2 linked regions of the Notamacropus eugenii genome follow. The protein of the gene in region 2 interacts with the protein of the main gene of each other region in a pairwise test. Links are inferred from orthologs where the notes say so. Each region holds a gene or a part of one and is shown on either strand. Other genes may lie near its edges.

What was found. The genes of interacting proteins can lie anywhere in the genome.
Region 1: the proteins of ARL6IP1 (region 2) and INPP5K interact in binary tests that used the Homo sapiens proteins (3 or more experiments, as listed by UniProt). The link is inferred for Notamacropus eugenii from reciprocal best matches to the Homo sapiens genes ARL6IP1 and INPP5K.

The regions. Positions count from the first base shown.
Region 1 is NC_092873.1:39,558,884-39,566,584, reverse strand, and holds the start of INPP5K (inositol polyphosphate 5-phosphatase K), read left to right. Parts: upstream 1-4,694; 5' UTR 4,695-4,709; coding exon 4,710-4,960; intron 4,961-5,119; coding exon 5,120-5,227; intron 5,228-5,559; coding exon 5,560-5,668; intron 5,669-6,808; coding exon of another isoform or gene 6,809-6,918; intron 6,919-7,701. Other genes in the region: uncharacterized protein, read right to left, coding at 1,588-1,687, 1,918-2,528. UniProt on the Homo sapiens protein: Inositol 5-phosphatase which acts on inositol 1,4,5-trisphosphate, inositol 1,3,4,5-tetrakisphosphate, phosphatidylinositol 4,5-bisphosphate and phosphatidylinositol 3,4,5-trisphosphate.
Region 2 is NC_092874.1:400,666,483-400,673,890, forward strand, and holds the start of ARL6IP1 (ADP-ribosylation factor-like protein 6-interacting protein 1), read left to right. Parts: upstream 1-4,394; 5' UTR 4,395-4,713; intron 4,714-4,810; exon of another isoform or gene 4,811-4,823; 5' UTR 4,824-5,069; coding exon 5,070-5,105; intron 5,106-7,326; coding exon 7,327-7,408. UniProt on the Homo sapiens protein: Positively regulates SLC1A1/EAAC1-mediated glutamate transport by increasing its affinity for glutamate in a PKC activity-dependent manner.

The sequences.
Region 1 (7,701 bases), on a different chromosome or scaffold from region 2:
CATTTCTCCAAACCTGCTCAAACCATCAGTGTTCTAGGCCTTTGCTCTGCCCCATGTTCGTACTGCCCCAGAGAGAGGCAAGATCCCCTGGCAGGGAGGAGGTTGTGTGTCTGCGGGTCTCTGGTAGTTTGCTTTGCCTTACTCATTTCTAAGTGCAATAAAAGGAGTGTAGGACTTCACCTGTGACTCTGGTGGACCCTTCTCTGGGACCCTTCTGGGGGAATGGGGTAGGCACATCCAGAGCCAACTGAGTTGAAGCATGGACCCTGGGTTTCCAAAAGAGAGTTACTTCTGGCCATGATCAAGCCTCCTTTGTCTCCAGCAAATGTCCCATTGCCGACACTTGACCCACTTTCAGCAGCCTCCTAGTTATGGGTCCCCTGGATGGACCAGTAGGACATTGCAGTCAGTCCTTTGTGTGTCGGCTGCACGGGGAAAATGTCAGTGTTGCCCTTGTCATTCTCTTGCTGTTGGCTGTATTTGTGCTTCAGCAACAGTTTTCTTCTCTTCCTTCATCTGGAAGGTGGAGTCTAGATATCTGTCCTCTCTGGGAAAAGACTGACACTCAGAGCTAATGAATGTTTACACAGTTGTAGTCAGGAAAGGCACAAAAGAGAAAGTCCTTCAAATACCAGTCTCGCCAGCTTCTAAATGAGATCAATGCACAAAACTTGAGGTCCTCCTGCGTTTTTGTTCCCTTCCTGCCTCCTTGTCTGCATCCCCCGCCTCCCATTTTAACCCACGGTGAAAGCATCCAGACCTGGGCTGGAGAATCCTGTAGGGATCTGCCTGGATCTTGTAGTTCTGAACATCAAGGGAGGCAGGGCTCAAACCCCAACCTCCCCTCCCCCCCCATGATGGTGCTGCTGATAGGCATTGGCTCCTCCAAGACACTCCTGCCCCCACCTCTTTCTGCCCAGCCCTGCTAGCTAGCTCTTGGAGGGGCCCATCATCATCGTGGGAGGCTCGGGCTGGTGGTGTTATGCCTGAGGATGCACTCTTTGGCCCCAGATGTGCTGCTGCTATCAGACTTCCAGCACTGCAGTCCTACAAAACCATCCGTGGTTAGGATCACTCCAGGACTGGGTGCTGGGCTCTGGCATTTCAATGGAAGGGAGGTGACCAGTGATAGTTTTTATCTCTGGCACCCATGCACCTTCCTGGGTTCTTAACTGTCCCTGCTGGGACCCCACGACATGTTTTCGATTGGTTCCTAGCTATTCCTTTTACAAAAAACCACTTTGTAGAATTAACTAGATTACCTTGTTGTTTCTTTAATGTGAGTTTGTGCCTTTTTGTCTCCTAATCTTCCAATACCGGTATATTGGGGAAAAAAGTCTAATAAAGTCATAGACACAGCTCTCTGGAGTCCGGATTGTTGGTGTCCGCACACGGAGCTCCCTGCAAATGTTCTGCAGATGCAACATCCCGAATTACGCTGCTACTGTATCATAGCCCCTAGCGTGCAAAGGTTCTTGTAAAATCTATGCGCATGTGTTTCCATTGACTGACATGATCAACTCCCATGTTTATTTTCGATTCTGACCCTACCCAGATGTAGTGGCTTGTGATTCTTGGGGCGGCCCTTTACTGCTCCACCTTGGCGAAGGAGTCGGTGATGTGGAGGCACCCTGCTGCGAGGCTCCATAGAACAGCCCCTCCTTGATTGTAGTTTTCACACTTTGGGCTAGGTAGGGTGTAAGGAGAAGGCGAAGGCTACGATTATTTCAGTAGCTCGTTTAGTTTCTGTGATGCCCAGCTTTCTCATTTGCAGGGCGGGAAAAGTGAGGGCTCTCGGTGGGCAGGAAGAGCGGGAAATCAGGGGCAGCTGGGGTGGGCTCTAGGCGGACGAGCGCCCTGGGCCCGGGGCTGGGCCAGCGGAATGCACGGGCACCGACAGTCACGGCCTGAAGCTACCTGGCAGTACCGCTCCCAGGCTCGCGGGGGCGGCCCAGGCCGAGGTTGAGCAGCCGGAAGTTGCCTCTCTCACCCCCGGCTCCTCTCACGCTTGAACGCGAGGCTCGCGAAGCATGCTGGGAACTGTAGTCCAGGGCGGGGGAGAGAAGCTCGACGTTCTGGGCCCGGGGGAGTCGGGTCCCGCGCCGGGAGAACGCTGGCGGTGGCTGTGTTGCGTCGTATCTAGGTGACAAGCAAAGGTCCGCCCCCTTTCCCCCTTCCCCTCCCTCTCCCCCACCCCGCCCCAGTCCCCTTCCCTTTTCCCCAAGTCCCGTCTCGGCCCCTGGTTTTGCGCACTCCTGGGAGCTCCGCCCCCTTCCTCGTCTGCACCCACCCAGGAGTCTCGGTACGCCCAAGACCCGCCTCTTACGGAAGCCGAAGAGGAAGGGAAACAAACAACAGGCGAGAGAGACCGGGAGAGAGACGCCCTCAGGGACCCGCCGCCCACCCGCCAGCCTGCGGGCCTGCGAGGCCCGGCGGCTGGGCCCGGCGAGGGGAGGGGGGCGTGGGAGTAACGGCCGCGGCGGGGTCCGGCCCGGCCCAGGCTCGGGGAGGCTCCGGCTTCGGCTCATCGTTGGCTCCTTCCCCTGTCACAGAGCCCTGGGCCGCGGAGGCCATGGACCGGCCCGTCAAAAAGATGAGGCACCTCAGGAGGCTCAGGTGAGGGCGGGGGCGGGGGCGCGGCGGCCTCCCCTCCCCCCGGGTTGGCCAGCGGCTGAATTAATCCTGACTAATCCTCGCTCCCTCCCCTCCCTCTCCTGCTCCCTCTCCCCTCCTCCCCCCTCCCGTTTCCCTCTTCTCCCCCCTTTCCCCTCCCCCTCCTTTCTCAGCCACCCTGAGAGGTAGGCACCAAGATCCCATTTTACAGATGGGGAAACTGAGGGCCCGGCCATTCCCTCCCCCTGACACACACGCACACGCACAGCTGTCGAGGGTCCGAGGCCGGATCGGCTGCTGTCTTTGCATCTTTCCCGACCTTCCCCTGTGCGGGCCCTAGAGGTCCCCGGACCCCCCTCTGGTGTCCTCCGGGGTTGCTCTCCAAAGCTCCGAGAATTAGTGGATTCTAGAAGGCTCGGTGTCAGCCCCGAAGTGGAACGTCGCGGGGAGGGCTTCCCGACTTTTGGGGCCCGGGCATCCCCGATCCCGCGGGGCTCCATCACGGAGGGCCGTTGTGAGCGAGCCGAGCCAGGTGTAGACGGAGAGTGGCCCTGACCCCCCAGGCCGGGAAATCGAGGCCCGAAGGCCCCCCTGGGAGGAGAGCCCTGAAAGGCAGCCCGCCTGGGTTCCCCAAATAATGGGGCCGGAGAAAGAGTGAAGGCTGGTGTCCCTGCCCCCGGGGTGGACGCCAGGGGGAGATCTTCAGCCAGCGACCCAAGTCCAGCATTCGCTGACCATTGGGGAAGCTCTTTTACCGAGAAAAGGAGGGTGCCCCCGGGCACCAGAGGTTTGTCAGAGGTGCCAGCCATCGGACAAAATTTGCTTAAAAGGCTGAATTCAGGAGAGCTGATGTTTGGGGCGCAACCAGGCAGGCCGTGTCCTTTCTCCCCTTTTCCCCTTTTTCCCCCTTCCCTCCCCAGACTACTCTGCAGCCTGAAAACTGGTACCTTTCTGGGCCCACTGACCCTCCTGTCCTTTCTGCCTCAGCCAGGCCTGCTTTCTGAGCCTCCTGGTGATGACTCATCTTACAGTATGAAGACCCTTTTTTAACATCAAAATTGTTTAAACACTCCCACATGGTAGTGGTTATGCTGTTAGCAGCCATTGGTTGAGAAAATACATGACAAAAACCTACTATGAATTCAACAATACTTTTTAATAATAAATTTTTACATTATTAATCCCAGCAGCTTCAACAAATATTTGACAAAGTAGTACACGTATGTATGCGCAATACATGTATTCAGTCTGTAGAAGGTACATTTATGGATTTGCACGTGAATTCAGGTACCCTTTGCAATAACTCTTTGGTCTTTGGCCCGTGGATTGGACTTGGAATCAGAAAGTTACCTTGGTACAAGTCCCCTCTTCTGCCATTTCCTGGCTGTATGGCATTCCTGCCCTGACTCTGGGGCAAGGTATTTAACCTCTGCCTGCGCCCAGTTTTCCTTAGCTGCAAATTGTCAATAACCACAGACCTGTGAGGAAAAACTTGTAAACTGGGAAGCACCAATATACGTGAACTGCTGTCGTCCCTCCAGGAGACTTGTTTGTCCTAGCTGCCTTGTGGCCCAGCTAGCCTAGGATGGGGCTCAGTCCCATATCCCATGACAGCTTTGGGGTGTGCTTCTCCTGACGCCCTCCTTCCCTTATGCCAGGTTTCTTCTAAGCCTCACAGGAGGGAACCCCCAAATCCCCTAGGATTGAGGGTGGACTCCATTTTTCTTCCTGGGATATATGGGGGATGCTGTAGGACCCAAGAGGTGACATTACCCAGAAGAGGGAAAGAGTAGAAAGTTCTTTCACTTGACTCTTAGAGAAAATTCCAGATATACCAGGAAGTGATCACATGTTTCTCCTTAGAGTTTTTAAAGACTTAGAAGGATTGACTATTAAGTCTCTTAAGAGAATGAATGCCTTCTTTATAATTTTCAGTCTCTCTGAACTTTCCCTGAGTTAGGAAAGCCCAAGGCTTTACCCCACCAAGTGGAAGCTGACCCTCAGGATTTCCCTGGGGATCTTGGTTCCTGTTGGCCCTCAGGGGCTTGTGGTGGCTTGTTAGTGCCTGCTGTGTGGTCAGGTAATTGGTTAGGCTTATGGAGAGAGAATATAGCTCTTCATCTTTGCCTGACTGGGAGACCTCGGTGTTGTCCCGGGACCGCTCTGTCAGCGTGAGCAGCACCAGCTCTGTGGGTCACACGGCCCTCCGGCAGCGAATGGTGCAGCTTCTGGCCTGTGTGGAGGACATCAGCTCAGATGAGGAGATCCAGGAGGACATGGCTCGCATGCTGGATAAGGCTTTCCTGCTCTGGGGGAAAAGGCTGAAGGACAAATATCTGCAGTTTAGGTCTCATTTTTCTCCCAATCAGATGTAAAATCTTCCCATTTCTAATTCTATCCTCTTAACAGTTTCATTCACCTAGAAAGACAGTTCCTTGGAGGCTGGGACCTCCTCCTGTTCCCTGACCTCTCCCTCTCTGTAGCCTCACTGTGCATTCATCTACAGGTTGCATGTCATGACCTGGAATGTGGCGTGTGCATCACCCCCGACCAATGTTGATGACTTGCTCCTACTAGACAGCCAACCTTTGAGCATAGACATGTATGTCATTGGGTAAGTTTCTTTTGGGGATTACTCACCAGATTCATCCTGAAATCACTTAAACAGAACTGATCGATTGGGAATGGGGCTGGGGTAACAGAAGAGGACAACAGAGGAGAGTGAGCCTCCCTAGCTTCCGTGCCCCGTTTGGTCATATGTTCCACCTTCATCTGAAGGCAGGAGCCTTCTTTTGGGGTCCAATTGCATGTCCCTTGCCCTGGGTCAGCTGCAGCAAGGGGAAGAGATTTATAGTGAGCTGAATCAGGATTTTTGGCTTTTACTGGGCTTTGGTAAGGATAGGGTGAAGTTTCAGTGGCGAAGAGAGTGACCACTGGAATGGTCAGTTTACAGGAAGTAAAGTCTGGCATCATCAATTACCTTTCTGAGTTGGCATTTGAAGATCCATGGAGCAAGCTCTTCATGGACGTGCTTTCCCCTCTGGGTTATATAAAGGTAACTTCTGAGTGATCCTGGGATTTGGTTTTGGGTGGGAGGGAAATAGGCATGGAGGGTTAATGTTCTTCACTGGCTTTTCACCTGAGGTCTCCCCTGCTTCCCCTCCAGTCCTTTCAGGTTTTGGTTTGCCTGCTTCCCAGCTAGTTCTGAAATAGGAAGTCAGAAAGATCTGTTCCTAGGAAAGGCCCCGGGAAACTTGTCATACACCACCACCACCTCCCCTTCACTTTGTTCCCCTAGGTAGAGCAGTAGCTCATTGGTTGCTTTAGGCCCATATTTTTCACCTCCTGGCTCCTCTGTTGTCTGGCCCAGACTGAGTAATTTGGTCTTTCAGTCTCCCTGTTGGCAGCCACAAAAATGGCATGCCAGCAACACCAGCCACAGACTTCTCTTTACCCTTCTGAGAGTGGGGACCATTCCATCTCCCTCTGCCCAGGCAGCCTTAGAGCTTGGAGCTGACAGCAAAATTTGGGCTGCTGATCCCCGCCCCACCCTCTTGCACAAGGAGTGAAACCTATGGCCTGAACTTTGTGGACTCTCCCTCTCAGTGTGGGGTATTGTCCAGGGTCATCAGCTATTTCTGTCTTTTCAGCTTGAAAAACACTTCCCTTTCCTCTGGGCATCCTCTGGAAGCCTTTGTCCTCCATAGTGGCTGGAGGAGGCTCTGGCTCTGTCTGGATGACTGCTGACGTCCACCCTAAAGGGGTCTCTGTGTCTCTGGGAGCTGAGTGGGTGGGGAAGTAGATGAAGAAAGGGCTGGGCTTACTGTAGTTGTCTGGTGTTATCAGGCGTCAAAGAGTACTGTTTGAGCAGGACTTGAGACTTCAAGGAACCAGTGGGGCCCCTTGGTGCTTCCTCACCTTCCCTGGGGCCCCTTGGTGCCTTTCCTTACCTTCCCTGGCCTACATCTCTCCTGTTATCTCCTGTTTACTTAAAACTCTAAACTTAGACTTCTCTCAGCACCCTAGAGCTGGTCCTTCCTGCTACGTTAGGCTCTTCAAGGTTGCCAAGGCTTATCTCTGTAGGTACTGGCTAAGTCCAAAGGTCAGTTCGATCCTTTGATTTTAGGAGAATTGGGAGAGTTCTAGGATTAAGCATGAGATCCCCTTGACCCACCTCGTTTTTCTGCCCCCCCAGAGATTCCTTCTGTGACACCACCGCTCCCAGATCTCCTTGCTTATGACCAGTGGGTGGCATTTCAAACTGGGGGTGAATCTGTGCCAAGACCTTCACAGTGGTGCCACAAGGTGAATAGATCTCATGCTCTAGGAGATGGAGCAGGCCCTGGGAGAGGCAGAGGGCAGTATAGGGCTCCTTTTGCTGGAAGGGGAAATTCTCTTGTTGATTTCCTAAGGCCAAACTGAGACCTCCTGGTTCTTCCACTCATTTGTCCTGAGGGTTTCTCTGATCCGTATCAGAACCTGAGAGTGGAGTGGGATTTCAGATTTCAATCCTAGTCCTGCTGTTTTGCCTGTTCGTTCTCTGGATCCCTTCCTTCCCATACAAGTTCCCTAAGAAACACTCAAGGCTAACCCCTTTTTAGTGAAGCCAGTAGCATTGTACCATCTAATAGCCACAGGGTGGAGCCTCTTCTTGCCTTCTCACACCCTGTCCCTAAGCTGGGGTACCTAGGTAAAAGAGCAACATAAGAAAATGACTTCAGCCCCCTGCATTCTGAGCACTGACCCCTGCAGGAGATCGGGAGTGAGCCCAGGTGACCAGGCTCCAATAAGGAACCTGTGGAAGACATCCACCTTGAGGTTACCAGGAGCTTCAGCAGGAATCGGCCCCACATGCCATGGGCAAGTCAGGGCTCCTCCTGAATGTTAGGGCCTACTATGGCCAGATTGCCTTATTTCCCTTCCTCCCTCTTCCTACTAACTTAGCCATTCTCACTGTTCTCTTTACTCATTTTTGTCTCTCAAAACTTAAAACTTTCCCTTGATGTCTCCCTAGGATAATCACTGCCCCGCCCATTTTCAGCATGTCTGTCCCTGCCCTGCCCTAGGTACCTGCAAGGAAGCTTTTGT
Region 2 (7,408 bases):
TAACACTTTGCCATGTATTGCAAGAAAGATGGCATTTCAATATCCATGTGCCTAACAAAAGATCCTATCACAATTTTTTACTTTGTTTATAGTGAACTTTATTTTAATAAAACAACACGCTGGAATAGTAATGCCATAATGCATTTTGCATGCTGCTGTTTTCTAGAAGCTGTGAGTATTTCATCTCACATGTACCTCCTAGTATCCAAAAATGAAGCTGCTTTTTCTTTATATTATCAGAATGAAAAAGCATCCCTGCTTTTTTTAAAGCATACAAGTCCAAATCGGCCCCCACGTGTAGTATTTGGAAATGGTTTCCTCTTTATTAAGGAAGGTTAACAGAAAATTCCAAGAAGTATCAGACTTCACAGGTGCCTTGGCGCTTTATCCCAGCTAACACAGTGAAACAACTTTACTATGAGAGCTGGCATCCATACACATTCTAGTAAATTATCCATGTATGACCTCTAACAAAATGGTCCCTTCAACATTTGAGGTAACACCATAAAAACAAGAAATGTTTTGTTTTCAGAAACATTAAACTGTGACTTCAAATATATATTGACATTTACTGCATTTGGTTTGATTTCTTCATGGAATTTATAAATGGCTTTGCAGCTTTAGATTGCTATAAGAATATTCACCAGTATCTTCAAGACATGCACAGTTTAAAGAGATAGTGGCATTGTAGCAGATCAACTAGAGCTGTAGGTTTCATGTTCATAATAAGACAAAGATTAAGCAGCTATGAAGTCATTATTATACTTAGTAATAGACAAAATAGCTATGGAAAACAAGGTGGTTTGGGTTTCTTTTTAATGATTCAGGTTGATGACAACCTCCAAGTAGTTATTTTTCTTTTCTCTCAAAGCTTAGCTATTCTCTGTTATGAATGTTGTTCAAGTCATTGGAATTGCCTGGCCATCTTTGTTTTTTTGTTTTGTTTTGGTTTGAGAAATGTTTGCCTGAAAAAGCTCTGGAGGTGTACTAGTTTGTGAAGTACCTATAGCAGTTTCACTGGTCTATTTAATATATTTGTCCCATTGTGTTCATGATTAGTTCTTATGCAGCTTTCTTGATGGTTAGGTTATTTGGATGACAGTATCAAGAGTCTCATAGTTTTCCTTTCTGTGTGAGACTGAGAGTTTAGGTAGAACTTTGAATCTACTATCACAATCCGTCTTAAATTCTTTATTAGGTTCCAGATGCCAAAGTTTAAGGCTGAAATTTAAGATAAAGTCATCTAGCACTCCAATTAACCCTCTCTCTTCACCTTCTTGTTATACTCTAAATGGTTTTCCAGTGTTGTGACCTGCATTGTAGGAGTTTTCTCCAGTGTTTGGTTGGTCTAATCTGTAAAATGTTAAGGAAAGAGCCATTTAAAATTTCTGATCAGGGCAGTGTGAGTACAGCCAAATATTAGAGTATTAAGTGCAATCTTAAGTCCCCTCTTAAGTTACAGGCAATACTTTAATCCTGAAAAATCTTCCCTCTTCTGTTCTCAGCAATTACTTTTGAAGGTTGCTTATTTGAGTAGCACCCAAACAAAAGGAGCTGGTTCCTTTTCTGTGCTCTTGGCAGTTCTTCCCTCCTTTTAGGACACATAAACTATGATTCAGCCAATTTCTTTAAGCCTAACTGAACTGCTCATTCAAAAGAAAATGGCAAATTATTTACTATTATCACCCTTGAATTTTTTTTTATGTGAAATTAGATGAATGTCAAAATCAGTGACCTTCCATTTCTCACTTGGCTTACATATCAATAAAAGTGAATTAGGATATTTTATTTTCCTTAGACTTTAGAGTTAGGATATTGCTAATATAACATTCAGTGAAAGACTGGCTTATGCTTTGATGTTTCTAGTTAGAACAAAATAGGGTAGCTTATCTAGATATGGTAAAAAAAAAAAAATTTTTTTTGATATGATGGAAAAGAAATTTACCATACTATGAAGTTGTGTGGGTTTTGTTGCACTTTTCCTGCTCCTTATAACCTGTATTGGGAATAGCAACATTTCAACTTCATTAACAAAAAGTGCAGGACACTTGGCCCTGGCCAAGAGAATCTCTCATTTAAAAGGGTAGATTGTAAAACAAGCAGACTGTAGATCAATTGGTTTTCCATACTCAATTGTGTGGGTTTATTAAGGAAAAACTGTTGTACTAATAATGTAAAAATGTAATGCAGTTGTTAGATGTATTTTCAAAAGTGGTAAATAGTAAAGAATTGCATGTTGCTCAGAAATTCAGAGTTGTGGAAAGATGCTTTGTTTTTATTTTTTAAAAAAACAAGCTGATTTAAATATAAGCATATTTTTACAACATTCAAACCTCAGATGTTTTGTTCAGCTCAAGAAGTTATACCCCTTGTCCATTACTATTTTCTGGTGTGAAACACTTTTCTTTTCTCTACCACTTTTAGTGGTAATCACAGTATGTGACATGAATAATTTCTCCATTTACCATTATTGTGAGGGCAAATAATTTAAAATGAATCTTCCTTTTTCCTAACAGAAATGTATAAAAGGAAGTGGCTGCTCTGTACAAAGATTGTATTGCCTCCCCAATGGATGTAATTTTGTGAGTGTATCACACACACCAGCTTCCTAAAAATGTTTATAATGCATCTTTTGAAAAAAAAATTTACAAGCAAACTTTGTGCATACATTGCATCAACATGGCAAAGATTGTATAAAATACCTTTTTCAAGAAATAAAGGTTTAAACTCAACTGGGCTAATGTTAAATTCTGAATTTATTGATCAAAGCAGACTACTAAAAATACTTCTAGCCCTAACCTAAATATTAAAGTCTTCATCGAACTTCCTACAGCTCTATGATGTGTACAATTTGTTTATTACCCCCAACAAAGTTTTCTTAATTCTTAAAATGTTTCAAAGTACATGTTGTATCCAAACTGGATAAAAGAATTATCACTTCAAAAAAATTTCAGTATGGTTGCAAAATTGAAAAACCTTTAAATCAAATACAGGGACGTTGTGGTTTGGAGCCATGGTTCCAATTGCTTCATTTGGAGAATGTTTTTTTTTTAAATCCAACCATACTAGTGTCAAAATAAAGATAATTATAAATTTGCTCAAAAGTTGGATGAGCTTATCAGTTTAATTTGTAAAGTCTGCTGGTAGGTGTGTTTATCCTGTTATGATTTGGTACTTTTCAAAGTAAAAAATGAATACAACCTCTCATCTGTTTATATTACAAAAGCTGAAAAAAGGAGTGGGGAAAGAATCTATAAGTATGAATGTTTATAAGTGAAACATTTAGAGAACTGAAGATCTAATCCATTTTTTTCTGTTTATAATTGGAACATTATTAACACTGTTAACTCTGTAGGGTTTTTTTTCCCCTTTCCTTAAAAAAATTCCAAAACTGCTCATGGGAAACTTCAGTGGTAAAGGTGGGGAAAACTTAGTGGAAAACTCAGACAACCTTACCTATATAACTGTTAGGCTGTGAATATGGAACAAGTGCACAGGAAAGTTCTACAATACAGATCATATTCCATATAGTACCTAAAAATTCTATTATCTTACCATAGGTACTTTACCACCTGACCTAAAGCATTTTTTTTTCCTTAGGGCTGGATTTTCAAAATAAAAATATGTTCCTGCAATTCTGTGGGAGACAGTATTTTTCACATAAATTATTCCCCTTTATCCTCAAGACCTTTTTTGAGGAATTTAACTAGTTGAGGGTATTCCACCTTACCTATTCAACTTCAATACTTCAGTCAGTCTTGAGTTCTTCCCATCCCTCAAAGATATTTTATCATCTAAACTTTTCCTTTCACTCCTTACCCTTCAAAAAACAAAAGAGCTCTTCAGCGTTTCTTTAACATTGAATACCAGTCCTGCTTGGAGTGATCTGTAACCACCATACCGTATATGACTCATCTTGCCTTCAGAAGTAAAGCAACAGTTGAGTCTTTGGGAGATTCTGATGTAAAGCCACAAGAAGTTCACGCTTTAGCTGTCCAGTTTTAAAGGGCATGCCGACTGTTGCTAGGCAGTTTCTAAAATAAAAATGGAAGGGGCAGCCATGTGGCCCAGCGGATGCAGCACTGGGCGTGCAATCGGGGAGACGGGTTCACACACCGGCTTTGCACCTAGCCTGTGGTAACGAGGATGCAACGTTTACAAAGCCCTTTCCAACTCCAAGGCCGCTGCCTAAGTGACCCCGCTGCTTTTAGATCTCTGTCCAGTCAGGCCTTTGGCGCCGCTGGAGACGGCTGTGCGGGCCGAGTGACCCCAGAACGCGGCGGGGGGAGGGGTGGCTCCGGACCAAGCCCAGGAAACGCTGGCACAAGCTCGCTTGTGCGCATCACAGTGGGCGGCGGGCGGGGGTCAGCACGGTAACGTGGTTTGCCCAGGACCACACCGCTGGTGATCTCGGGTCCTCCCGATTGGGACTACTCAGCTGCCCCAGCCGCATAAAACTCAAACACCAGGCCCTCCCCTCCCTAAACGTATGGCCATTCTGTTTTCATTCGTGGACTTCTACAAAATGGGGATGAAATATAATGGGAAAGCTCCCGTCTGCTAAGAGCTGCTGCCAGCTGGAGCGCCTCGTCATTTTACCGAGAAGATGGTCCTAGGAAGAGAAAATTCTGCGCCTGCGTCGCGCTCCACGCGCACGCGCAGACGCGCTCGAATCTCTTCCGTACCTGTGACAGTTGAACCGCTTCCGAACCTGTAATGGGGAGGGGAGGAGAGGGAGGGCTTAGAAGGGATCCAAGGGTTGATTGGCCAACCCACACATCTCCCCGCCCCTCAACCCAGGCCTTTCTTTATATCTTTCTCAGCCTCGTTTTGAAAACATGCACCGATTCGTGGTTGGTTGGTATGAACTTCAGCTTCGCCTGAATTCTACCAATGAGAAGACAGGCTCGCAAGACCTGTCGGGAAAGGGAACCGGCCTATAAAAGGACTTGAGGAGAAAGGCCTTCTCTGTTAAGGATCCTGCGCAAGGTTGTTGGCGTAGCGTTGTTATTTTGTATGTACAGATCCCGAGGCGGTGGCCGGTTATCCTGAGAGGTGCTACAGCGACCATGGCCGAGGGGGACAATCGCAGCACCAACCTGCTGGTGAGTAGCCCGGAAGCCCGTAGCCAACACAGGTCTCAGACCTGCTTCCCCTGGGTTACTTAGGTGCCGCGGCCAATCTGGTAGCCTGGCCGCCCCAGGTCGAGGCTCGCGAGCCGAAGTAGGGTCTTCATCCCTGTCCTCCCGGCTCCGCTGCTAATGCTTAAGTACCGTTGTTTGGGCCTCGAGGGGTTTGGCTGCCTAACGATCCTTCCTGAGTGGAGCCTGCGCGGGGGAGGAGGGAGGGGGGCAGGGGGGGGCAGGACGGGCCGAAGGCCTTGGTCTAGTCGTCGGAAGAAGAGGTGGATGGATAGATGGATGTGAGCAAGACGAAGAAGCGAATCCAACTTGACCCTGCTGTGCTGGAGCTTGGTCAGGCCCTTTACCCTAATCCTCAGTGTTCTCCTCCCCCGCTTCCGCTCCCTTCCGGCGAAAACATCGAGGTGCTGGGCAGAAGTAGAATTTTCCTTGTTTTCGAATGAGTTCATCTGAAGGTGAAGGCTTCTTGCTGCCCAGAATGGGTGGGGAAAGCTGGAATGGACCGGTGACAGCAGATTACTTAACGCGTGATTTTTGGAAGAGCGGCGGAATGCTTGTCATTTGACTGGGATTTGGGTGTCAGACATTCCCGGGCTCTCGGAGCTGGAAAAGGGTCTTCGAGATTATCCGGGCCAACACCTCTTTAGAAATGAGAAATGCTCAGATCTGGCGCTGATGGCTTAGAAAACCTGGGTGTTCTTTCCTCCGTGTGCCCTGGAAGCTCGGTTCATTTAAATGAAAAGTTTGGAGTTTGGCATAGTCATCTCATGGAGGTCATGAAATAGATAAGGCCTGGTAGAATGTTAGGAAGGTAGCAGTTTTAAGATCTAGAGGTAGAAGGGAGCTTCTTAGAGAGCATCGCATTGGCCCCTTCATTTTGCAGGTGAGGAAAATGAATCTCTATAAAGTACAATGACTTGCATGTTTTAAGATAAAGAAATACTAGAGTATTTCTCATATGATTAATTCTAAGGGATTTTTAGAAACAACTGGATTTCACATTAGTTTTTAGACTGCAAACAATTTTTTAGCTGTATTATTCATTTTTCTTATGTTGACCCTGCTACTTCTTCTGTTTTTTGCTTATTCAAGAGCTTCACTTTGAGACAATTTGAGTTCCTCAAATTCTCCCACAAGCTACAAGGAGAGTTGTATTGAGTTTAAGATGGAACATCCCAATTTGATGAAATCAGGCTTCATCTCTTTTATATGTTAATGCAATATATCTCTGTTTCAAGTGATGTTAAAATCTAGTGGTCTCTTGTTACAAGAAAGTTATTTTGAAAATTGAAGGTTGTCTGGAAAATCTTAAAAAATTGAAAGACATCTTAAGAGACCCTCTTAGTCCAAGAAAGATGTAAATCCCTTTTATTAACCTTATTTTATGCGTTTACTAAAATGGTGATTTTTGTTTTGAAAACTACTGGGGCCTGAACCTAGAATTAATAATCCTTTGATAAGGTTACACTAAATAAAAATTTAACCTTTCAACCTAATGACTTTATTAATGTTTTGATGTCTTTTTTCTTTATATCACCTATATTTCCCAGTCCATCCTTTTACCATCTTCCCCCTAGAGAGTGACCTCTTATAACAAAGAAGAAAAAGCAGTTCAACAAAACTAATCAATACATCAGAAATGTCTGACATCATATGCAGTGTACCACACCTAGGTGTCTTCTGTCTTTGGGTCTAAGCTTGGTCGTTATCATTTTACAGTAGTTAGGTTTGCTTGTTTTCTTGTTTTTCTCATGAACATTGGTTGCAGTCATTGTTTACTTTATACCATTCTGCTTATTATTTCCTTTACTTAGAGTTTGTAAGTCTTCTCATGCTTTTATTTATTGATAGCATTTTCATTATTTCTTTTGGCACAGTATTATTTCCTCACATTGATGTGCCACAACTTGTTTAGTCAGTTCCAGTTGATGGAAATAGAATTTATTTTCCACTCTGTGCTTGTACAAAAAAGTTCTGCTATAAATATTTTGGCATGTTGGGGGAGGGGGTCTATCACTGACTTTTAGGTGACCCCTGTAACTTTTTTAAAAATTAGAATTATTGGCTAGTTTCAGCTGAGAATGTGTTATGAACATTGTAGCACCATAAAAGAATTTAGCTTTCAGATAGCCAGGACTACTGTTAAAAATATTGTAATAACTGTTTAAAGTATTTCTTTATGCAGGCTGCAGAAACTGCCAGCCTGGAAGAACAGTTACAAGGATGGGGAGAAGTGACGCTAATAACTGATAAACTCCTTCGGTGGG